Arabidopsis thaliana: one gene and its partners. The protein of the gene in region 1 interacts with the protein of each later gene in a biochemical or structural test. Each region holds a gene or a part of one and is shown in the gene's direction. Other genes may lie near its edges.

Region 1 (6,242 bases):
TGTAGTGGTGCTTGTGGCTTTCGTAGCTCTTTTGATCCTATACATTGTCCCCGTTGTATTGGTTCAAGGTCTTGCTAATCTTCACCAGTTGGAGACTTGGTTCCCTTTTCTAAAAGGAATATTAAATATGTAAGTAAAGCCCTATTTAGATAAAGATGGTTCTTCGTTTCAATTGAACAATTACAAAATCTTCTTTTTTTTCTTATGATTGCAGGAAAATCGTGAGTCAAGTGATTACGGGATATCTTCCGAGTCTCATTTTCCAGCTTTTCCTTCTTATAGTACCACCCATTATGCTTCTACTTTCCTCAATGCAAGGATTCATTTCTCATAGCCAGATTGAGAAATCTGCATGTATCAAGCTTCTAATCTTTACTGTATGGAACAGTTTCTTTGCAAATGTACTGTCCGGATCTGCCCTTTATCGTGTTAATGTGTTCCTTGAACCTAAGACTATTCCTCGTGTGCTTGCTGCAGCTGTGCCAGCACAGGTAAAGAACACAAAATTCAGTATTGAGGTTTCCGGAATTCCCTTTTCGTACCACGAGTCATGTTTATTGTTTAATCTTTGGTGTAGGCATCGTTCTTTGTATCTTATGTTGTGACCTCTGGATGGACTGGTTTATCATCAGAGATCCTCCGTTTGGTTCCTCTTCTTTGGAGTTTCATAACGAAACTTTTCGGCAAGGAAGATGACAAAGAATTTGAGGTTCCTTCAACTCCTTTCTGCCAAGAAATCCCAAGGATTCTATTTTTTGGACTCCTCGGTATAACTTACTTCTTCCTTTCGCCATTGATACTGCCTTTCTTGTTGGTCTACTATTGTCTTGGATATATCATCTACCGCAACCAGGTAACGGAACCAATCTCACTCCTAAGTATAATTCTCTGTTGATCTCTGATAAAATCATATAGGAATCAGCTACACATATTTTCGTTATATGGAATCTCACTTTTATCTTCTCTTTATATGTGATCCCTTTTCTAAATTCTCGAATAGCATCTTTAAACCGAAAGTATTTTTTGGAGCTTCAGTCATGACATAAACGTTACATCAAGAATCCATTTTCTCGTCACATAATTCTTTTTCTTCTTAATGAATCCATTGCAACTTGTTGATAGAAATAACATCACCTTTTTGTGCTGCAGCTCCTAAACGTATATGCGGCCAAGTATGAAACTGGTGGAAAGTTTTGGCCAATAGTTCACAGCTATACTATCTTCTCTTTGGTACTAATGCACATTATTGCAGTCGGATTATTCGGGCTTAAAGAGCTTCCAGTGGCATCTTCTTTAACAATTCCCCTTCCGGTTCTCACGGTCCTTTTCAGCATTTACTGCCAAAGACGGTTTTTACCAAATTTCAAATCTTATCCTACCCAGGTAAAGGCTTTAGAGAAATAGTTACTCATATTTTTGATCCAATGGAAGAAAAATATGGCTAGATAATCTTTTATTCCTAACCTAAACAAAACAAACAGAACATGATGCATAGTCCTTTATTACATTACAGCATCTACTCTAAACCTTTATATGGTGATGATGGATGTTTTACTTTTGCAGTGTCTGGTAAACAAAGATAAAGCAGACGAGAGAGAGCAAAACATGTCTGAATTCTATTCGGAACTCGTTGTTGCTTACCGAGATCCTGCACTTTCGGCATCACAGGACTCGAGAGATATCTCACCTTGAGATCACCTTTTTACTTGAGCTATTGAAGTTTGCTTATGTTGAAGCTGTTGGTTTACTATACCTGGTGCAATCCATGAAAGAACACACTAAACCGGTTGTCTTGTACATTGGGTCTTAACCGAGAATCAAGCGGTTTTTGTCTTGTACATTTGCTTACACTTGGCTTGTGTAAAAAAGAAAAAAAGTTTATGTCAATGTATCTCTCTAAACCGGTTTAAGACGGTACAAACTTTTTGAAAGATGCCAAAACAAAACGGTGGTTAATAATTTTACCACAGAGAATATTTAGCAAAAAGATGATGACTAGATGCCACGTCCGCATGGGGGTATATATTGTAATTAGTCGTAACTCTGGGGGTAATTTAGTTAAAGATTGATCCGTTTATGGAACCAAAAATCAAATAATTTCGTCTTTGATACTTGCTTGCGCCTTATAGGCTACAGGAGCGAGAGCAATGAAAGCGAGAGGAAGAATCTATCAATAATTTCTGGGTTTAAGCTGATCTCTGGATCTTCCTCAATTTTACTTTTTCAGCTCAGAAAATTTTGGGACTTTTTTTTGCTGCATTTTTTGGTTCCGAATTTTCTCCTCCGCCTTTTTTAATTTTTGGTAAGTTTCGATATCTCTCAATTTTCTTATTTCGGAAATAAAAAAAATTCTCGCCCTTTTGCAAATCAATGGATTGATCTTGAAATCGTCATTTCTGAATCGGGTACGAGAGATCCAGTAATCCTCTGCGATTGAATTATTATTAGGGTTCATATTCCGAATTGGGGATAGTCTGAAAATTGCTATTTTAAGCTCTCTTCTTAGTGTTGGTTGGTTTATTCTGGATAATAAAAGGGATCCTAATTCTCGCTAAATTCTCATGTTCAAACGAGTAGATGAGTTTAATTTAGTTTCTTCAACGATCGATCACAGAATCTTCAAAAGTGTAAAAATTACTTGCTTTTTGTTCCTATTACTCTTTTGCAGTTTGTTTTGTGTGTTGTGTACTAGTAGATCTAATATCTCTCTCTCTTTTTTTGTAGAGAATGGATGGATCAGGCACAGGCAGTAGAAGTGGGGTAGAATCGATTCTACCAAATTACAAGCTTGGGAGAACTCTTGGTATTGGTTCCTTTGGTAGGGTGAAGATAGCTGAGCATGCATTGACAGGACATAAGGTTGCTATCAAGATCCTCAATCGTCGCAAAATCAAGAACATGGAGATGGAGGAGAAAGGTACAAGTTTTGTTTTGTGTATCCATTCCACCTTAGTTGTGACTTCACGGTACTCTTGGAATATATAAATATATAGCTTCTTTTTCGTCTTCCTTCCTTTGAACTTATTTGGTCTTTGATGCAGTGAGGAGAGAGATCAAAATCTTGAGACTATTTATGCATCCTCACATCATCCGTCTCTATGAGGTTATAGAGACTCCCACAGATATTTATCTTGTCATGGAGTATGTGAACTCTGGTGAGCTATTTGACTATATTGTTGAGAAGGGTAGATTGCAGGAGGATGAGGCGAGGAACTTTTTTCAGCAGGTATGTTTTTATTTTATTTTATCAACATGTAACTTTCCAAGCAACCATTCGATTTTATATTATATTTGAGAGTTAAGAATTAGCTACTTGGCTTTGATGTAGATAATATCAGGAGTGGAATACTGCCATCGAAACATGGTGGTTCACAGAGACCTCAAGCCTGAAAACTTGCTTTTGGACTCTAAATGCAATGTAAAGATTGCTGATTTTGGCCTGAGCAACATAATGCGAGATGGTCATTTTTTGAAGACAAGTTGTGGAAGTCCAAATTATGCCGCTCCAGAGGTAAGTGCTTCAGCCCTCAGGTATCTGAGGAATACTATAATTAGGCTTGTTTCAAATGATAGGTTATAGTCGAGATCTATAAATTGTTTCAGGTAATTTCGGGCAAGTTATATGCTGGCCCTGAAGTAGATGTCTGGAGCTGTGGTGTGATACTCTACGCTCTTCTCTGTGGGACGCTTCCATTTGATGATGAAAACATTCCCAACCTTTTTAAGAAGATAAAGGTACATTCTATTACTCCTCCTCTTTCGTCTATTTGAACTAATGCTTGAATTTTTTATTTTATTTTTCGTATCACCCTTCGACTGTAACCTTTTTTTTTTCTCTTTTCGTCCTATAGGGAGGGATATACACATTACCTAGCCATTTATCTCCTGGTGCTAGAGATTTGATCCCCCGGATGCTTGTAGTTGACCCCATGAAACGAGTAACCATCCCTGAGATCCGGCAACACCCTTGGTTCCAAGCTCATCTTCCGAGGTATTTAGCTGTTCCTCCTCCAGATACTGTGCAACAGGCAAAAAAGGTAAGCCTAACGTATCTACTCTTATTTTCATTAGAGAAATCTCTATTCCCATTTTTCGATAAAGGCGTAAAAGCGCTGTCTTCATTTGTAGATTGACGAGGAGATTCTCCAAGAAGTTATCAATATGGGATTTGACAGAAACCACCTCATCGAATCGCTCCGCAACCGAACCCAGAATGATGTATGTGTTTCCCACCCACTTGTTCTTTTGCTGTTTCTTTCATTTCAAAGATTAAAAAAAATTCCATCAAAAGATCTTAAATACTGTATTCTTACCGACTGTCTTCCAGGGCACTGTGACGTACTATCTGATACTGGACAATCGTTTCCGTGCCTCTAGTGGTTATCTCGGGGCTGAGTTTCAAGAGACCATGGTTAGTCTTTTTTGTCCTTTTCGACTTTAGCAAAAGATCTTTGACGTAATGCTTCATTGTTTGATTTAATCAGGAAGGTACTCCCCGTATGCATCCAGCAGAAAGCGTTGCTTCACCTGTTAGCCATCGGCTTCCAGGACTGATGGAATATCAAGGAGTTGGCTTGAGATCTCAATACCCTGTTGAGAGAAAATGGGCTCTTGGACTTCAGGTTTTGATATTTTCTGTATTTATGGTATAAAGACTTCAGCTTTTGATATATATGTGATTAATATTGTAACAATTTGATCGCACAGTCTCGGGCTCATCCCCGTGAAATAATGACGGAAGTCCTGAAAGCCCTGCAAGATTTGAATGTATGTTGGAAGAAGATAGGGCACTACAACATGAAGTGCAGATGGGTTCCTAACAGCAGCGCAGATGGTATGCTCAGTAACTCGATGCACGATAACAACTACTTTGGAGACGAGTCCAGCATAATAGAGAACGAAGCAGCTGTTAAGTCGCCCAATGTTGTCAAGTTTGAAATTCAGGTAAATCCTCTTCTCCACTTCATGATACATATCGGTTTCCCGTACGACATTGTTTCTGATGTGTGATTTCGAGTGAAAGAAAGCTTTGTGTATTAGTGTCCATGGCCATTTTTGTAACTGAATTAGAACTAGAGTGAATCTTCATGAATCTAACTATCAATCAATATTTTCTGGGCTTGATGACGTTTGTTATTGTTGATGGTGAAACAGTTGTATAAAACTCGGGACGACAAGTATCTACTGGATTTGCAGAGAGTACAAGGTCCTCAGTTCTTGTTCTTGGATCTGTGTGCTGCTTTTCTTGCTCAGCTCCGAGTCCTCTGAATACTAAACCGGACCTCTTCAAGAATAATCCCCACTTATTCCTTTTTTTTTTTTTTTCTTATTCGTCTAAGAAATTATTTAGAAAACGTAACCCTTTTTTTCTTCTTCTCTTTCTTTCTATTTCTATATGCGTGCTCTACTCAAATACCTCTTTTAACTTAAATGTAAGACTGAGCAAGAGTAAAAAAAAGACACTTTGTACATAACTTGTAGTGCATCATGCCACCAAGATTGATTTTTGTTTTTGTTTACTCCATATTTCTTATGATTAAAATCAATAAGTTAAGGGAAAGACATTTTGACAAAAATTGAAGGAAAGATGTTTAAATTAGTTTCATTGAAAACAAATTAGCAAATTCAGAAGTAGTTGTTTTTGTTTCGTGTATTATTTGATGGGTCAATATTACACTATATTTTTTGTGTAAACAAATTAGCAAATTCAAAAATAGTTGTTTTTTGTTTTTGTCATCCTACTAATATTAAGACATTGAAAAACGAACATTTAGGATGAGCTTGATGTGTTTATTTCGAACTAAGATCCAAAAACTATACAAACTCAAAAACAAGCCCAAAAAGAATTTCAAAAGTTTCCAACGTGTGGTTTTACCTACCAGTTAATCTTCTCCTGCAAAAAAAAAAAAAACACATCAAGTGTGAGATAAACTCTCACAAAAATACAAGGAAATTTGTAATAATAATAAAAAAAGACACAATTATCTTTTGGTAAACCTGAAATTGAATAATTTCACACTGACTTGGGCTTTTTTTTTTAAATGAAAAATTAAACAAATATGGACTACAAATCATGATGGTAGGTAAAAAATGTATATATATCTTTGGCTAAAAATTCTGGTAATTTAATTCGCTTTTTCCCCAAATTTTAACCTCTCTCTATTCGTGGTGGTCTTCGAACACCAACTCTAACATCACTTTCAGTCCTCCGTAATATTTCATTCATCCCATTTGTTTGAAAA
Region 2 (4,067 bases), on another chromosome or scaffold:
GGCAATAGACTCTGTTAGTGATAAAGGCGTTGCAGTGGCCGTGGCATCACAAGAAGACATTGATGCAGCAAACAGAGAACGCTCAAATTTTTTCGAGGTGAAGAAAGCAGCTCTCTGAGTCTGAGACCCTCTTAGAAAGTAGCTTGTCACAATGAGGAATGACTCTTCTTAGGTTCACGGTACGACGCATCAAATCTCTAAGCTCGTACTTATTTGTGTTTTACTTCACTGTGTTTTGTATAGTTATATATGCCAACATCATGACTTATCACAGTTGAAATTTAGCATTTTTACCTGAAAACACAGGCTTTAGCTACTGTTGCATTTGAGTTGTTACTTTTTTGGACAATTTTTCTTTCGTTTTAGCCTTTGCTCTTTAAGAACTAAGAATCCTAGTTCTATTTATATTCCATTATCGTATCAAGATAAGCTCTCGAGGATTTTCCTGTACCTTTTAGGTTATAAAACCAGTTTCGTTTGATTCACATTTTGTTGAAAATGATGAGTCAAAATAGACATTATATTCATCATTGGCTGGGATCGGATCGAACAGTGCCTGTTCTTGTTAAAACAAATGGCTCTCAGTCATACAAAAGATGCATCTATTATTCATCATGTGTCGTGATCTTGTTATTGTCATACTATCTAATGTGACTACTCATGCTTCATTTGTTTTTGTTTGTGTTTTTGAAGTAGGTCGTAGGTCTTAAACATTTCCAAGTGAAATTGAAACGCTTATTCTTTTAGGACATTGGCATCAAGATCTCTATGTTACTTTTATAAGTGAATTAGTCTTTAAAGTTACTTTTTATTAACATTGATTCATAAAGATAACTTTTGTAAATTAGCCCATAAACAAAGATACTTGTATTGATGAATCTTCTTCGTCTCATCCTTTTACCATTATCCTTGAAAATTCTGATTACATCATTATTATGGATGAAAATTAACGAAGAGTCTTCTTTTTTTTCTTGTGATAAATTTTAAAATTATTGAAGAAGCAGAATCGGACAATTGAAGCCTAGATTATTTTTTATTTATTTTTTGCAAAATGAAGCCTAGATTCTAATATTTCATATTTTCGATATTGTACATGTGTAACTTTAAAAAAAAAAAAAAAAAAATCCCAAGTAAATGCTTGTTAGCACAATTATTATGTAACGGTCAATTATTGCTCATTATTTCACTGCCAAAAAATAACGAAAATGGTCCCATTTTATTAGAAGGAAATAAACATGTTGTATGTGTAAAATTCTTAACCCATTTTTGGACATGTACAGATTCCATGTAAAAGCTGGATTTTAAGTTGGTTTTTTGTTGTTGTCATTTAATAAGTACTATTTAATTGATTGTATTTATAGTTCTGTCTCCATGTGAAGCTGCTCATAAGAAAGTGAATGCTTTAGACTCTAATCTATGTGCCTAGTTATATCCTTAAGAAGTTGATATTTAGAGCTTATGATAGAAATTATGAATCAGCAACCATCAGAATTATTTTTTTTGTTTTGACAAATGTATTTACGTGTAAAAGAATATAAGTTTAAGAAATCTATAGTAGAAAGTAGATTAATTAACAAAAATTACTGTCACAACTCACATTTCTACAGCTTATAGGACGACGTTTTAGTTTTGGGTTGCTTTAAAAGGAAGCTAAAAACGGCAAAAAAGACGCGTCGTTTAGAATCCCGACGGCGTCTACGCTCCGTAACGACGCCGTTACCTGCTTCCCCGTGAACGGGACTCAGTTTAAAGGACCCCACTCAAAACCGGCACAACAACGGCCCATCCGCTATAGGCAAGGCCCAATAATTAAATCTCAGCCGTTGAATTAATCAACGGCTCTAGATCCTTCATCTTCCTCTCCCCCAAATACCCAAAACCCTTCCTCTGTTTTTATTAACCAGAGAAACCCCAACTTTTTCATAAACTCTCTCCAGAGAAAACTATAATGAGCTTGAGAGAAATGAGCGAAACAAAACCCAAGAGAGATTCTGAGTACGAAGGATCAAACATCAAGAGGATGAGACTCGATGATGATGATGACGTTTTACGCTCACCGACGAGAACTCTTTCTTCTTCTTCCTCTTCTTCTCTGGCTTACTCGGTTTCAGATTCCGGAGGTTTCTGCTCCGTCGCGTTATCTGAAGAAGAAGACGATCATCTAAGCTCAAGCATCAGCTCTGGTTGTTCCAGCAGCGAAACTAACGAAATCGCTACTCGTCTTCCATTTTCAGATCTGGAGGTGAAATTTCGAAACTCGAGATTACAAATTTTGAAATTTCTCTGTTTCACAATAAATGCTCTCTGAGCAAGATCTGATTACGTTTTTTTGGATTAATTAATTTTGTTTCCGTTTTCAGGCTCATGAAATCTCCGAAACCGAAATCTCAACGTTACTCACCAACAATTTCAGGTTAATTACTAAAAAAGACGTTTCAAAGATTTTTCAATTTCTTCATTGTTTCGTCTATAAATTCATAATTTTTGGAATTTCACAGGAAACAGGGAATTTCATCAAGCGAGAATCTGGGAGAAACAGCAGAAATGGACTCGGCGACGACGGAGATGAGAGATCAGAGAAAGACGGAGAAGAAGAAGAAGATGGAAAAATCACCGACGCAGGCAGAGCTTGATGACTTTTTCTCGGCGGCGGAGAGATACGAACAGAAACGATTCACAGAAAAGTGAGTCTTTTTTAGACCCACACACACGCGCATGATAGCAGAGATCCTTAACTTGCAGTTGTTTAAAACATGTATAGGTACAACTACGACATCGTCAATGATACGCCGCTTGAAGGTCGGTACCAGTGGGTTAGTCTGAAACCTTAGAAGCCATGGAAGAACAAAAAAAAAAAGAAAAAGAAGAAGAGACAGTGCTAAAGTTACACGTCCTAGTACTGTGATTTTTGTCACAGACAGAAGAATTTTTAGAGACATTTCATTGTACAGTTTTTATCTAATTTTAATTTCATCATTATCTTCATCTGTTCTTCGTACCAAGAGTTTTTTTTTTTAACTAGAAGTGTTAACATATATTTGAGTTTAATTCTCTCTGTCTCGGTGATATTGTTGGATTGTTCAACAAAAAAAGTGGGGTTACAACAATTAAAAATTGGAATTATTGTGTCAGTAAAGTTTCACTAATTTTTGTCAGTTTTGTTGTAGTGAATTTGGTGTTGTGCACATTATTAGTATTTTCATGAAATTGGGAGGATTTACGTATTTATGAATTTGGAAAACTATTTATTGTTTTGATTCTCACCTTGGATGTTTATAGAAATTGTTTTTTTCTCTTCTTTTTGTTGCTTGTACTTTATATGCTATTTTATAACTTTTTTATTTTTCTTGTTTCGACAATTGTTTTAGTGAAACAATAATGGTAATAGGAAGAAGAAAATAAATATAGATTTTAAGGAAAATGGGTAAAATTAGAAAACCATAACGGTATATATATATCATACACTTGGTATGTACTTTCTCTATAGTTCGAATGAATATTCCTCTAATTTCCTTGAAATAATTTATTTTATTATTTTATCAAGAAAACTTTATGAACAAAGTTGAATGTTTATTTATCAAAAAAAAAGAAGCAAATTTGAAAGCTTTCTCGATGATTGACGTTTTTTTTTCTTTCTGAAATTTAATTTTCAAATTATAAATGAGCTTTACGGCAAAAAATTAAAACTTTAAATGGCAAGAATACAAAAAAGGAAGAGAGAGAAGAGAATAGAGAGGATCTCATCATTACCTGATTCCGTTGGGATTATATTCCCTTTTTTTAATTTTCTTTTCTTATTTTAATTTCCTACAGCAGGCAAAGGCGCGTGACTCCACGTGCTTTCTGTTATTTTAGTTTTTCTTTTCATTTATTCTTTTTTCCTTTCCCTTATTTATGTACTTTTTTTGCGAACTGACTGTTATTATATTTTACTTAACAACACGAATTTAAATTTGAAAAGAATTGAAGAAAATAAAAATAGTGCGATTAAGGAAAAAAACTAAATAATAATGTACGTCATAATTAGGTTACCTCTTCCAACAAGCCACGTGACGAGGGAAGGGTAT
Region 3 (8,151 bases), on another chromosome or scaffold:
CAACCCACATCTGATGTACCCATTGCGAAGGACAAAGAGAAAGATGAAGAGGACAGGTCCATGTGAAATATAATAGCTTATTATGTTGATTTTACTTACAACCATTAAGGTTGCAGCATGGACCAAGAAATATAATAGCTTTATGATGATTTTAGGCAAGTTGCTGAACTTGATTCCTATGAAAAATGAGATGCACGCATGTCAAAAGTTCTTCAAGTGAAAGAAAAGTGCTATTTGATACCATCTTAGTTTTCTCTCTTCAGTTATTAACTATTTGTAGTAGTGGACTATTCGGGAACAACTCATTTCTAATGAAATTTTAAAGCTTGGCATTATGTAAGAACACATATATATTTCAGATTAGGTTTTCGTTTGACTGACGAGAAACAAAATAAAGAATGTGCAAGAAAAATTGGTATACAAATTATTTAACTATTTTTACAAAACTGTGTAATCTTCCAAACCTAATTTCAATGATATTATACTTCTGGTGACGTGAACGTTCTCGTAAAACAAAAAACAAAAATCATCGAAATTATACTTACGGACAAAGAGTTATGGACTATCTATTTTGGAAGGAGAAAAAGAGAACCATCAGAAATTGCCTACAAGAGAACCATCAATGATAAACTCAGATTTTGACTTTTGTACCCGAAAGAGAAAGAACCATCAATGAAACTGCTTGCGCGTTAGTCTCCCAATATTTTTCCCAGCTTTGATGTTTCCTTAAATTCCTTTTTGGGCAAGGTTACAAAGAACTAGGCTATGCTATATTGTATAATCTAAGCTTTTCACTTTGATTGATTTCATATCAAAAAAAAAAAGAAAGAAAGAAGGAGCATATGTGATGTAATTGGAGAGTTGTTTAGACTAAGAGAAAAATGTATTCAGTGGAGGCTAAAGAAATTCTTCTCGAAATCTGATGCAAAACCCATAACTGAAAGAAAAGAAGAAGAAAGAACTCTTTGAATTAGTTCCCGAGCCAAAGATCATATACATAACCAGAATTACGACGAAGGAGTTACGGATGTTTAGGACGAGAGCCAAAGATGTTCTAACAATATGTAACCAAATGAAGACTTTCCAAATATTAAAAAGAGCCCTTATGAGATAAAAAAAAAAAACTTTGTTGGCCTGTTTTTCAATGCCCAAATATAGCGATCAAGATTTTGAGATGAAAGTTATGACCATTAAAGGAGTATATATATCCAATTGTCCATACTAGCCAGCGACCGTGAATGCTGCCCAATAACCAACAAGCCAAAATGACCATTGTTTACAAATGTCTTTCTCATTTGCTGTTTTCCGACAGATAGAGTAAGTGTATATATAGAATAGTACTGAAAGAGAGGGCCGGGGGACTTATATACGTTTTGAGGAAAAAGATAAACAACATTAGAGTAAGAGCGAGATATATACACTTATATAAAGTCATGTCTATAAGAAAGTTCAAATCCAACTTAAAAATATATACTCACAACAAATAAAAGTTACATCACTTCGATTATTTAGAGTTTATAAAACTAATTAGAAACCGAACTCTTTTTTTCTTCAAGGTCGTGTTTTGGTTTTAGGCTTTTAGCCCTAATTTACAGGTCTTTCTAAGGCTAAATCTACTATAAAATGTAATTGCATGCCTAGGGTTCAAACATGAAGTCTCCTCTCCCTCAAATAATGTCAACTTGGAAGACAACACGATTGTCTCCCTGTATTACATGTCTACCGAGAATAGATGTACAATGTAATTTCATGGATTATGTTTAACCCGATAATAAATTGGTGTGGGATGTAATGATTTATTTTCTTTAATTTAAGAAATTATAAGAGTTGACACAATAAAAATTAGAGAAAAAAAAAACATGGCTTTTCTTTTTACTTTATTTATTTACCCTGCTTCAAAACACAAGAGAATAAGAGAAAAGTGTATTTTGAAACGTTTTTGAATGTTAGTTTGGTTTTGTTTGATTTATAGTACTGTTTAACATCAGAAAAGACAAATGAGTTTAAAAAAATAATACCAAAAAAAGAATTTACTAGATACAATTTTAAAGTGGAAATATTTTTAATAACTTGGATCCTCGTCTAATTTATTCATAACATTTATGTGATATATTATATATATAGGAAATGATTTATTAGATAGTTGACTAAAACTATATATTAGATGCTATTATTTGCATAATTCATATAGTTATTTATTATGAAAAAAGAGAAGAATAATCAGTTATGTAAAAGTAGAATTTTTTTTTTTTTTTTAAATGTTATCGGAAAAACTGTATACAGTAATAAAAAAGAGAAAAAAAAAAAAAACCATATCTTTGTCGATGGATTAAAAACAACATTTTCATTACGCAGCGCTTCTTCGCCCTCAGATTCTTCTTCACCTTGAAAGACCATTAACATCATTCCTTGCCCAGATCCAAACAATGCCATCTCCACTCTCTCTATTTAGGGTTCTCTCCAACTTTTCAAATCCCTAATTCTTGCTCCCTCCCTTCAATCAATTCCGATCATCATCGAGGTCTCTCTACTCCCCGAATTTAAAGATCAGAGCCGCGACTTCCTCTGCCTTCTTTTCCTCGGAATTTTTCAGCTACGTTTTCCAGGTGGTGTGTATTGTCAATCAGTTGACCTTTGCTTTTGTAGCCAGATCGTTCGTGCTTTGAGTTTAGGGCTCTTTTACAAGGTTTCGTGTTGGTGGAATTTCTCTACCTAGGTTTGGGGGAAGAGTTCAGTAATTTCGTTGTAGATCGTGATTTGGGCTTTTAGGGTTTCGGTTTACTGGTTGCTGGAATTTATGGTAGCGTTATTGAATTCGGACTCTCTGCATGTGTAAGCGTTGAAGTTTGAAGTTTCACCGGGTTTTGTTTCTTCTGCTGAAGAGTCGAGATTATTTTACGCATTAAGAATCGATTCAGAAGGTTTTTAGGAATTAGTTTCTGTGGATTGTAACTATATAACTACTGGGAGGGGATGTTTGGTTCTACATTGGATAGCAGCCGTGGAAACAGCGCTGCCTCAGGGCAGCTTCTTACTCCGACACGCTTCGTGTGGCCTTATGGAGGTAGAAGAGTCTTCCTAAGCGGATCTTTCACCAGGTGAGATGACTGAGCTTGAACTAGGATAGTTTACTTTATATTTCAGTTAAGCTATTTATCGGGGTTTGTGTAGAGTATGTGCTCTGTATAGTATCTATCGGGGTTTTGCAGTCCATGGACTGATTTCTGAAATGGGCATTTGAACAGGTGGACAGAGCATGTGCCAATGTCACCGCTCGAGGGCTGCCCTACTGTTTTTCAAGTCATTTGCAACTTGACGCCAGGATATCATCAGGTTAATAATCTTGTACTCGACCTGTATCATGGCAAATTCTTTGTTAATTAATCCCTGCAGAAGCATTTATGTCCTTGTAGTGATTTAGCGATGTCCATAATTGTGCTTCATTTAGTCTCTGGATACTTAACCTATGCAATGAGAATCTTATATACCTCTGTCATATTTGTATGACTGTGGCTGAAAATTGCAAATTTCCTTGCTAATTGATCAAAATTTGACTTTATACATCACCATCCACATAACAAAAGTTGGGGTCTTCATGCTGTGTGATACCTAAATCACTTCTTTTAATAAAGGCTACAGTGTGTGTATAGAGATTCATATATTTTGGCAGTTGGATGTACTATATATAACAAGATTTTAATTATTACAATGTGAGATGCTTAAGAAGCCACTAATGTTACATTTATGTTATTTCATTCTCATGCAGTATAAGTTTTTTGTTGATGGGGAATGGCGGCACGATGAGCACCAACCATTTGTAAGCGGAAATGGTGGAGTAGTGAATACAATATTTATAACTGGGCCAGATATGGTTCCTGCTGGTTTTAGCCCAGAGACACTGGGCCGGTCGAATATGGATGTGGATGATGTCTTCCTGCGAACGGTAAGGAATCTGACCTTTCCTTTTCCAAAATGCAGTGTTTATTCTCGCTGCTTGATGGTTCAGGTTTCCCGAGTTGCTTCCAGTTTGGTTTCTTTAATTTTGATCCGTGGTTGGTATCCTTCAGATTATTTTTAACTGTTTGTCATTAGTTCAAGTATAATTGATTTTAGACCATTTTATCTTAATGTATAAAGCAGGATTCCTTAAGTTCCATTAAATTGTCTCTGAGACTACATTCAAATTGAGTTTCTGACTGCTTTCACATGGTGATTATATTGTAGGCTGACCCGTCCCAGGAAGCTGTTCCTAGGATGTCGGGGGTTGATTTGGAGCTTTCTCGTCACCGCATATCGGTTTTATTGTCAACCCGCACTGCATATGAGCTGCTCCCAGAATCGGGCAAGGTTTGGTTTCTTTTTCTTTTTGCTTGATCATTGATAATTTCTGTCTTCATGTCCTATAGATTATCAGTTAAGAATAACCTTTGGCTTCTTACTCGGAAATTGTCTAAGGTGATTGGAAATTTTACAGGTTATTGCATTGGATGTTAATTTGCCAGTGAAGCAAGCATTCCATATACTCTATGAGCAGGTTTACTTTATTTGCCAATTACCCTTGTGTCAGCTTCTGTTCTTGTTAGGATGTTCATCTCTCTGTCTCTCACCGTCATATAAACATTCTAATATTGTTGCATCCAGACCCGGAAAGGGAAGGAAGTGAAACTTAAGTGAACAACATTCGTCTAATTATACTTCGAGATTGTTTGGCTTTCTGGTTTTTGCTAATTCCAGATGCTTTCAGGGAATCCCTTTGGCTCCTCTTTGGGACTTTGGAAAAGGCCAATTTGTTGGAGTTCTTGGTCCACTAGACTTCATTCTAATACTGAGAGAGGTTGGCTTCTATTAAAACTGTTCTTTGCTAGAGCATTCCATCGAGTTACTATTGTATATTCTTAGAATTTCCAAGACGGAAGTCTGGATATCTCATAAATCACATAGTTTTAAATGTTTTACTAGCTTCTCAGTATGAAATTTCACTCTTGAGTATAATAGCAAATTTGTAAAATTGCAGCTTGGAACTCATGGATCAAACTTGACAGAGGAAGAGCTTGAGACGCACACAATAGCAGCCTGGAAAGAGGGGAAGGCTCATATTAGCCGGCAATATGATGGAAGTGGGAGACCATATCCTAGGCCACTTGTTCAGGTGAGATTTTCACAGTTGATTTGTATCGCTGTTACTACTAACTTTCTTCTGTTTGCGTAATCTCTGAACATAGCCTTATCCTAGAACTTTCTATTGCATGTTATATTGAAAAGAGCTAGTAGTATTTCTCTCTTGCTATTAATGGTTTTATATATGGCTATCAGGTTGGACCCTATGATAATCTGAAAGACGTTGCCCTGAAAATTTTGCAAAACAAGGTGGCAGCTGTTCCGGTTATATATTCTTCTTTGCAGGATGGTTCATATCCGCAGTTACTGCATCTTGCTTCGCTATCAGGCATATTAAAATGTAAGGTCCCTTCATTTGTGAATAAGACACTGATAAGCGCGCCAATTTGGCATTTCTCACTTTTTAATTCATGACGTGCATATGATTCTGCTATTTCCAAAATTTTCCCACTTCTTCATTTCTCCAAATTCTGTGAAGGGATGGGATCTTTAGGAGGGAGGGAAATTAGAAACTAAAGTTGCAATTGACTTTACCAAACTTTTTACACAGTTTTCCCTGTTAATAATTCCTTTCGAAATTTATGCCTTTATCAGACACTTAAGCTCTAAATTAAGCATAATCTTCCAGGTATATGCAGATACTTTAGACATTCGTCTAGCTCTTTACCTATCCTTCAGCAACCCATTTGTTCAATTCCCCTGGGTACGTGGGTCCCTAGAATCGGAGAATCAAGTAGCAAACCTCTCGCTACATTGAGACCTCACGCCTCTTTGGGTTCTGCGCTCGCATTATTAGTTCAAGGTAATCCTTTTTCTTATCTTGTTGCAGCAACATCTTATTCAAAGCTCATCTGCAACTCAGACTATCAACCTCTACATTACAATCAGATTTTCAGTTTTAAATATTTTGTCTAGATGGTAATATAATCAAGTAGCTGAACACATGGGTATACTCAAGTCAATGCAGACCAACAAACCAACTTTAGATGTTACGACCACTTTTATTATTTTTATACAGATGTAATTGCTGCAACATGAGTAAACTAACGAGGTTTAAAAACATAGAAACATTTTTGTCAATCTTAAAGCAGATATATTTATAGAATTTCTCGTGATCTTTTCCCTGGTTCCTCATAGATGGAAATGAATGAATGAGTCATGCTTAATTTATGTTTCCTGGTTATTACAGCTGAAGTCAGTTCAATTCCCGTAGTGGATGACAACGACTCGCTTATTGACATATACTCTCGAAGGTAAACCTCTATCCATCAATCGACATGATGTCTTATGCATTCCATCTTTGACGTCCTTGTGTTCTGATGATATTTGTAATTGGCCAGTGATATAACTGCTCTGGCTAAAGACAAGGCATACGCACAGATTCATCTTGATGACATGACAGTTCACCAGGTAAACCTCTCATCAGAAACCAAGATCCATCACATGTCTCATCAAATTACGAGTTTTACTTAAATGTAACCTGCCTATCTATCATGGAAATTGCCTCGTTTCTGATTTATTTGAACATACATCTTTACAAGAATGAAAGAAGAGATGAAACGTTATAATAAAGTGGAGGATAATGTGTTTGTGGGTTTTCAGGCGCTACAGTTGGGGCAAGATGCGAGCCCGCCTTATGGAATCTTCAACGGGCAGAGATGTCACATGTGCTTGCGCTCAGACTCTCTTGTGAAAGTGATGGAGCGGTTGGCGAATCCAGGTACACACTATCTCCTATATACAATCTTCAGCTTTGTTGCTTGACACAGGAACATCAGATGAGATGTAACTGGGGTTTGGGTTTGTGTATATAAAACACAACAGGTGTAAGGAGGCTGGTGATAGTGGAAGCAGGGAGCAAACGTGTTGAAGGTATCATTTCACTGAGCGATGTTTTCCAATTCCTGCTCGGTCTTTGACTCCCACAGCAAAACAACCTCCCCAACCTCTTTTTCTCATTTCCCCTCAATCAAAACTACCCAACAATTTGCTTCTTTTTTTTTTTTTTTTTTTTTCTTCTTGCAAGGAATTTGTAAATTTGCTACGAACCTCTTTCATCATTGTTTTCTTATTATTTTTGTTGTTTTAGTTGAACGGGTTTCCATTCTTGTGAAGATATTGGCTACCGGAATCTTTTACTAGTAGCTTCCCTCAGCTTTTTCTTCCCTCTTTTTTTTTCCATTTTTTTTTGGTTTTGAGTTTTTCACTTCATCGACTCGAAAAGCAACACAGCATGAGAAGGCCGTAGAAGTGTAGGACAATGCACTGGTTGACAAAGATGAATTGTCACCAGCGAGAATAAGCCTTATGGTTGAAGTTTGCAAGTAATGATTAATACAATTACAATCATAACGAATCATAACCTTAAGTACAATAACAAGTAAAAAAGTACAATGACAAGTAATATTCAGTAATGGTTAATCGAGTGATTTGATCATAGCATTATCGATTTCTTTCGGATTTTTCAATAGCTCTTAAAATATATCAATAAAAGTAATACAAAATTCAATCAAATCTAGTGACACTAAAAAAAAATAAAAAAATCTAATGTCATTTAAAAAATATTTGAGCAAAAAAAATAAAATCTAATGTCATTAAAAATAAGTGTTAAATAATTGATGACATAATAAGTGATAGAGAAAAATGTATTTACTCTATTTACTTATTTAGGCTTATCCAGACAATAAACGTTTTCGTTTTTCCAGTCCAACAAGTTTCTTCATCAACTCTCTCAACTGTTTTCGACATAAACATTCCAGAAGCTGAGATCAGATACTAAAATGGCGGAGATCGGGAAGACGGTGTTAGATTTCGGCTGGATAGCGGCGAGATCCACGGAGGTCGATGTCAACGGCGTTCAGCTCACTACCACCAATCCTCCGGCCATCAGTTCCGAATCTCGGTGGATGGAAGCCGCCGTACCTGGAACGTAAGTAATAGTGTTCACTTTCCTCTTCGAAAATTTGAAGCTATTAATAATCAAAGTAAGAACAATTGTTTAAGTATTTGATTTTGTTCGAATGTGTCTGTCAA
Region 4 (5,049 bases), 9.8 Mb from region 1:
ATACTTATTAATTACTACTAGCATTTCTTTACACACTTTGAAATTAGAATTAAATCTATTCTTCCCATTACTTGTTATTTGTCAATATTTATTTTTGATGGTTTTTATATAATATACACATATCTAAGATGTCGTTTGTTTATAATTTCAAAGTGAGTAAAAAAAAATAAAAAAATAAGAGATACTCTCATAAGTTTGAAGAGATTACATGCCACTTTCAATGCATAAAATCAGTTTTATACATGGACAAGTGGTATGCAATCCCTCCAAAATGAATGAGAGAATCCTCTTTTTTTTTTCTTAACCACTTTGAAATTAATTAAGTATATTTTTAACTTCTAAATCCTCCCCATCCAACACCATTCCAAAACATATCCATTTAGAGTCGAAGAATTATCTAACTATATTATGTGGCTGGCCAGAAAAAGTTTAATTAGTTCCGATTTAATATGCAATCTATTATATTGAGTTTATATTAGGGCCTGAGATAGTTTTCTAATAAAACAAAAGTCAAGTAAGTAATCAAATGAAATATAGCTTCGATTTACTAAATTATACGTCATTTGTGATATAATGAAAAACGTTTCATGGATAAGTGGCAACTATTCTCTCCAAATTTAGTGAGTGAATTTTTCTTTTTCTTTCTTTATGCACTTTTAAATTGTAATTAGTTGTCAAATATCGCTTGACTAGTTTTCATTCAAAAATCATGAACTATCAATCTATCACTATAGTTGTAAGCTAAAATTCATTATACATATGTACACTAACATGAGTAACTATTTAATCTTCTTTTTGTTTTCGAAAACTCATTAGTCATTAGAGTTTTAAAGTCATGAAAAAAAAGAGAAAGAATCTTTTATTAAATTTGGAGAGAATAGTTGCCACTTGTCCATGCAAAGAAAACAAAAAATATCAAAAACGTTTTAACGTCACGTATTCTTCCTCACCCATACTTTCCCCTAATATATTCGTGCAGAGTCGAAAATTATTTTAGTATATTACTAAAATTGACAAAATCGTTACTTGATTATCATTTAGTAACGCCCTTATCAAGAAAAATGGAAAGTAGAATCGAACAAAATATTAATTAAATTCAGGAAAAATATTAATCGACCAAACATATACAGTATGGTTTTTTTGTTAAAGTTAAATCATAGAAGAATAACGAAACATGAATTGCAATTTTCTAAGAGTATGCATCTAGTTAAAACCCATGGAAATGTGTTATCATGTCGATAATCAATCATTCGACGAATTATAGAATATGGCATATAAATGGTATTTGTTAGTAACAATGACAACAATATATATAGATGATAGATAAATTTGTGTCAATCTAAGTTGTATATACTAACAAATTATAAATACCATTACACATTTTTCGTCTGTTATTCGTCGAATATTGATAGATTAACGAAATGATTACACATTTCCATAGTTTTAACTAGATGCATAATTTACAAAATTCAATTCATGTTTCTTTATTTTCTATAATTTAACTTTAACAAAAAAAACATATTTCTTTTGTCGCTTTTTTTTCTTCTGAAATATAATTAATGGAGTACTATATTGTTCCATTCATCTTTCCATAATTTTTTCTGATACGGGCGTTACTAAATGAAAGTCAAGTAACGATTTTCGTATGGGAGTTTGATATTCTAGCTTTAAGCTATGAGACAAATGTGCTATTTCAACCTAAGTCAAGTAATCTCAAAGGTACAATGAATCCTTCACTTCTCTTCCAAATCAGTTATCGTCTAAGTCTGTAGAAACAAAAAGCCTTTATTCTTGGTCGCAAAAATGTTCTTTATCCCTAAAAAAAAGTCGTAGAATCTACGTATATACAAATCACATGTTGACCAGTAAGTAATGAGAGTTAAATTGACTTTAAAACTAGAGTTAAATGTGGTAGAGAGAGAGAAGAAGACGCCATTGAATTCTGGAAAAAAGGAAAGAAGCAGAACTTTTGCTACACTTGTTCACCATGCACAATCCACTCGTCCCTTTGCTCTTGGTTCTAAACTTTAACCTAACCTAATCTCTAAACTATGGTTGAGTGTTAGTTTAGTGGCATTAGATCTTGTTGCGTTACTATCATCATAATAATCTTATCAAGATTTAGAAAATCTTAATCTTCCAAAACCCTAGATTCATGAATGTAGGTTATACAAATGTCACTTCCTTACCATAAATAGTAAAACAAAAATCATTAAAAACCAATGGTAAACCCAAATCTCTGATTGCCCAGCGTCCATTTTAAGCCTCTGTTTCGATCTGCACAACACACATACACACAACACAACACAAACCACAGTCTCTCTTTCTCTCTCTATCTATCTTCTCTTTCTCTCTCTATCTCTATCACTGAAACCCAAAGAGATCCACCATTTGTTCTTTTTTCCTTCACACAGAGAACTGTTTTCTTCCACACTTCCTTTTTACTAGGCAGTGTTAACCAATTGAGAGAGAAAAATGATGGTTGATGAAAATGTGGAAACCAAGGCCTCTACTTTAGTGGCAAGTGTTGATCATGGGTTTGGATCCGGGTCGGGTCATGATCATCATGGGTTATCGGCGTCTGTGCCTCTTCTTGGTGTTAACTGGAAGAAGAGAAGGATGCCTAGACAGAGACGATCTTCTTCTTCCTTTAACCTTCTCTCTTTCCCTCCTCCTATGCCTCCTATTTCCCACGTGCCAACTCCTCTCCCCGCACGTGTAAGCTCTTCACTCTTTTTTACTATTTTCCCTCTCTCTCTCTCTCTCTAAATATTATTAATTCAAAACTATTTTTTGTTATTTTTATAAGATCTGTGAGGATCCAAATAAAAATAGATTTAGAGTTTTGTATATTTTTCTATTGGATTGGTTTTATTAAAAAGATTCAATGTATATTGTGATGATGTCAGAAAATTGACCCAAGAAAGCTAAGATTCCTCTTCCAAAAGGAACTCAAGAACAGTGACGTCAGCTCTCTCCGACGTATGATACTCCCGAAGGTGATCTTTGATTATATATGATCATGATGATGATTAATGATGTTGGTGTTGATATGATAACTAATGATGATGATCCATATAGAAAGCCGCGGAGGCTCACTTGCCGGCACTTGAATGCAAGGAAGGGATTCCTATAAGAATGGAAGATTTGGACGGTTTTCACGTTTGGACCTTCAAGTATAGGTACTTTTATCATTTTACTCCTAATCAATGTTATGTAACAAAGCATAGCTTATATAGTTGAATCAAACTATTCAGTTACAAAATTGGTTAGCAAGAATTTCAAAATTGGCTAGTACGAATCTATAACGGATAGGTTATATCTGATCTTAAGATCTACATGGATAATTCTTGGTAGATCAATCATTTTGAAAGTATTCATGTATCCATGTCGATCTTAAGACCTTTAAAATAGCATCATTTCATTTAAGACTAAGCTAAAGTAAATGAGATCGTTAGAAGAAACCATAGATGTTTGAGTCTTGGCCTAATGTTGTGATCATTAGGTACTGGCCAAACAACAATAGCAGAATGTACGTGCTAGAAAACACAGGTAAAGTTACCGACAATCCCGGTTTTTGTTTTTTTTTATGATAATAAAAAATCGAATCAATGATTGTTAAAAATATTGGATCGAGCTGGGTATTATTTCCAGGCGATTTTGTGAATGCTCATGGTCTGCAGCTAGGTGACTTCATCATGGTTTACCAAGATCTCTACTCAAACAATTACGTACGTTACACGCTACTAAAAAGAAAATTCTACAAAACGTGTTACATGTTTAGGCTCAATTTTATTTATTTATTTTTACTTTAGGTTATACAAGCAAGAAAAGCATCGGAAGAAGAAGAAGTAGACGTAATCAATCTTGAAGAAGACGACGTTTACACAAACTTAACAAGGATCGAAAACACTGTGGTTAACGATCTTCTCCTCCAAGATTTTAATCATCACAACAACAACAACAACAACAACAGCAACAGCAACAGCAACAAATGTTCTTACTATTATCCAGTCATAGATGATGTCACCACAAACACAGAGTCTTTTGTCTACGACACGACGGCTCTTACCTCCAACGATACTCCTCTCGATTTTTTGGGTGGACATACGACGACTACTAATAATTATTACTCCAAGTTCGGAACATTCGATGGTTTGGGCTCCGTTGAGAATATCTCTCTCGATGACTTCTACTAGATAATCAATCGATGGGCTCATGGTATTCTTGATGGTGATCAGCTATTTAATATCCTTATAATATATATAAGAATTAAATGCAATTTGCATATATATTATCAAGTGTTGAATATAACATTACAGTTTATATGAAAATCATAGCTAGATGTGAGTCATGAAGGTGTGTTGTATTTGATGAATAAATGTTATTTAGTGTTACGGCGTTAATATATTATTAATCCTTTAAAGAAGATTTATGATACTAGTTTTCTTTTTATTGGAGATTATTTGTTTGTCTTGCAAACGTTAATCATTATATATACTAGAATTAAGGATTGAAATTTTTTGATGTTAAGTTTAGAAACAATTTATGTTGATAAAATCATTTTATGCTAGTAAAGTTTGTATTAAGCTACATCAATCTTATATATATAATCCCACACATTGCGTAGGAAAATTTAGTTATCACTAATAAAAAAAAGCACATAATTTAGAACACCTCAACTAATTGATAAGTAGGTAGTTAGTTACTATATATTTAATCAAAGATCAAAATGTGACAGTTGTAGTACCATCTCCTTATAAAAGCTATCTTACTGCAATAATCTTGTACCTCAAGGTACCCAAGATTTCTCATTCCTTCTTCTAAGTATAGTAATAAAGGATACCATGCTTTAAACTTTTCGGGGACTATTAAACTTCGAGGTTGTCAATTGATTAAAACCTTATACTGAACTGAAGTAACACTCCGTCTTATCTAGGAGACCTAGTTACCGCAAAAAAATTATTTTCTTTAGTAAATACTCGATAAAATTAAAGACCACTCTATTGGATTATAAACTTTATTCATGTCTGTTTTAATCGTCATATA

Evidence for each region.
Region 2: of the proteins of KIN10 (region 1) and ICK5, one has a biochemical effect on the other in vitro, tested with the Arabidopsis thaliana proteins (one study listed by BioGRID).
Region 3: the proteins of KIN10 (region 1) and SNF4 form a complex in vitro, tested with the Arabidopsis thaliana proteins (2 studies listed by BioGRID).
Region 4: the proteins of KIN10 (region 1) and FUS3 form a complex in vitro, tested with the Arabidopsis thaliana proteins (one study listed by BioGRID).

Annotation. Positions count from the first base shown.
Region 1 is NC_003074.8:30,463-36,704, reverse strand, and holds KIN10 (SNF1 kinase homolog 10), read left to right. Parts: upstream 1-2,217; 5' UTR 2,218-2,561; coding exon 2,562-2,627; intron 2,628-2,724; coding exon 2,725-2,917; intron 2,918-3,041; coding exon 3,042-3,226; intron 3,227-3,328; coding exon 3,329-3,511; intron 3,512-3,603; coding exon 3,604-3,735; intron 3,736-3,851; coding exon 3,852-4,037; intron 4,038-4,128; coding exon 4,129-4,218; intron 4,219-4,327; coding exon 4,328-4,411; intron 4,412-4,484; coding exon 4,485-4,622; intron 4,623-4,707; coding exon 4,708-4,944; intron 4,945-5,154; coding exon 5,155-5,268; 3' UTR 5,269-5,524; downstream 5,525-6,242. Other genes in the region: HYP1 (hypothetical protein 1), read left to right, coding at 1-129, 215-491, 578-853, 1,150-1,383, 1,564-1,692; AT3G01085 (Protein kinase superfamily protein), read right to left, coding at 5,883-5,893, 6,154-6,242. UniProt on the Arabidopsis thaliana protein: Catalytic subunit of the probable trimeric SNF1-related protein kinase (SnRK) complex, a central regulator of cellular energy homeostasis, which, in response to seemingly unrelated darkness, sugar and stress conditions, activates energy-producing pathways and inhibits energy-consuming processes.
Region 2 is NC_003070.9:18,364,456-18,368,522, reverse strand, and holds ICK5 (Cyclin-dependent kinase inhibitor family protein), read left to right. Parts: upstream 1-1,778; 5' UTR 1,779-1,948; coding exon 1,949-2,242; intron 2,243-2,360; coding exon 2,361-2,413; intron 2,414-2,498; coding exon 2,499-2,684; coding exon of another isoform or gene 2,685-2,688; exon of another isoform or gene 2,689-2,761; coding exon 2,762-2,831; 3' UTR 2,832-3,187; downstream 3,188-4,067. Other genes in the region: PREP2 (presequence protease 2), read left to right, coding at 1-118. UniProt on the Arabidopsis thaliana protein: Binds and inhibits CYCD2-1/CDKA-1 complex kinase activity. May target specifically CDKA-1.
Region 3 is NC_003070.9:2,899,035-2,907,185, reverse strand, and holds SNF4 (sucrose nonfermenting-like protein), read left to right. Parts: upstream 1-2,323; 5' UTR 2,324-2,973; coding exon 2,974-3,098; intron 3,099-3,245; coding exon 3,246-3,333; intron 3,334-3,766; coding exon 3,767-3,943; intron 3,944-4,224; coding exon 4,225-4,347; intron 4,348-4,474; coding exon 4,475-4,534; intron 4,535-4,744; coding exon 4,745-4,834; intron 4,835-5,014; coding exon 5,015-5,149; intron 5,150-5,313; coding exon 5,314-5,458; intron 5,459-5,746; coding exon 5,747-5,920; intron 5,921-6,307; coding exon 6,308-6,371; intron 6,372-6,458; coding exon 6,459-6,528; intron 6,529-6,720; coding exon 6,721-6,838; intron 6,839-6,942; coding exon 6,943-7,037; 3' UTR 7,038-7,410; downstream 7,411-8,151. Other genes in the region: AT1G09010 (glycoside hydrolase family 2 protein), read left to right, coding at 7,899-8,047.
Region 4 is NC_003074.8:9,853,175-9,858,223, reverse strand, and holds FUS3 (AP2/B3-like transcriptional factor family protein), read left to right. Parts: upstream 1-2,011; 5' UTR 2,012-2,475; coding exon 2,476-2,718; intron 2,719-2,909; coding exon 2,910-2,999; intron 3,000-3,081; coding exon 3,082-3,182; intron 3,183-3,505; coding exon 3,506-3,552; intron 3,553-3,654; coding exon 3,655-3,731; intron 3,732-3,815; coding exon 3,816-4,199; 3' UTR 4,200-4,396; downstream 4,397-5,049. UniProt on the Arabidopsis thaliana protein: Transcription regulator involved in gene regulation during late embryogenesis. Its expression to the epidermis is sufficient to control foliar organ identity by regulating positively the synthesis abscisic acid (ABA) and negatively gibberellin production.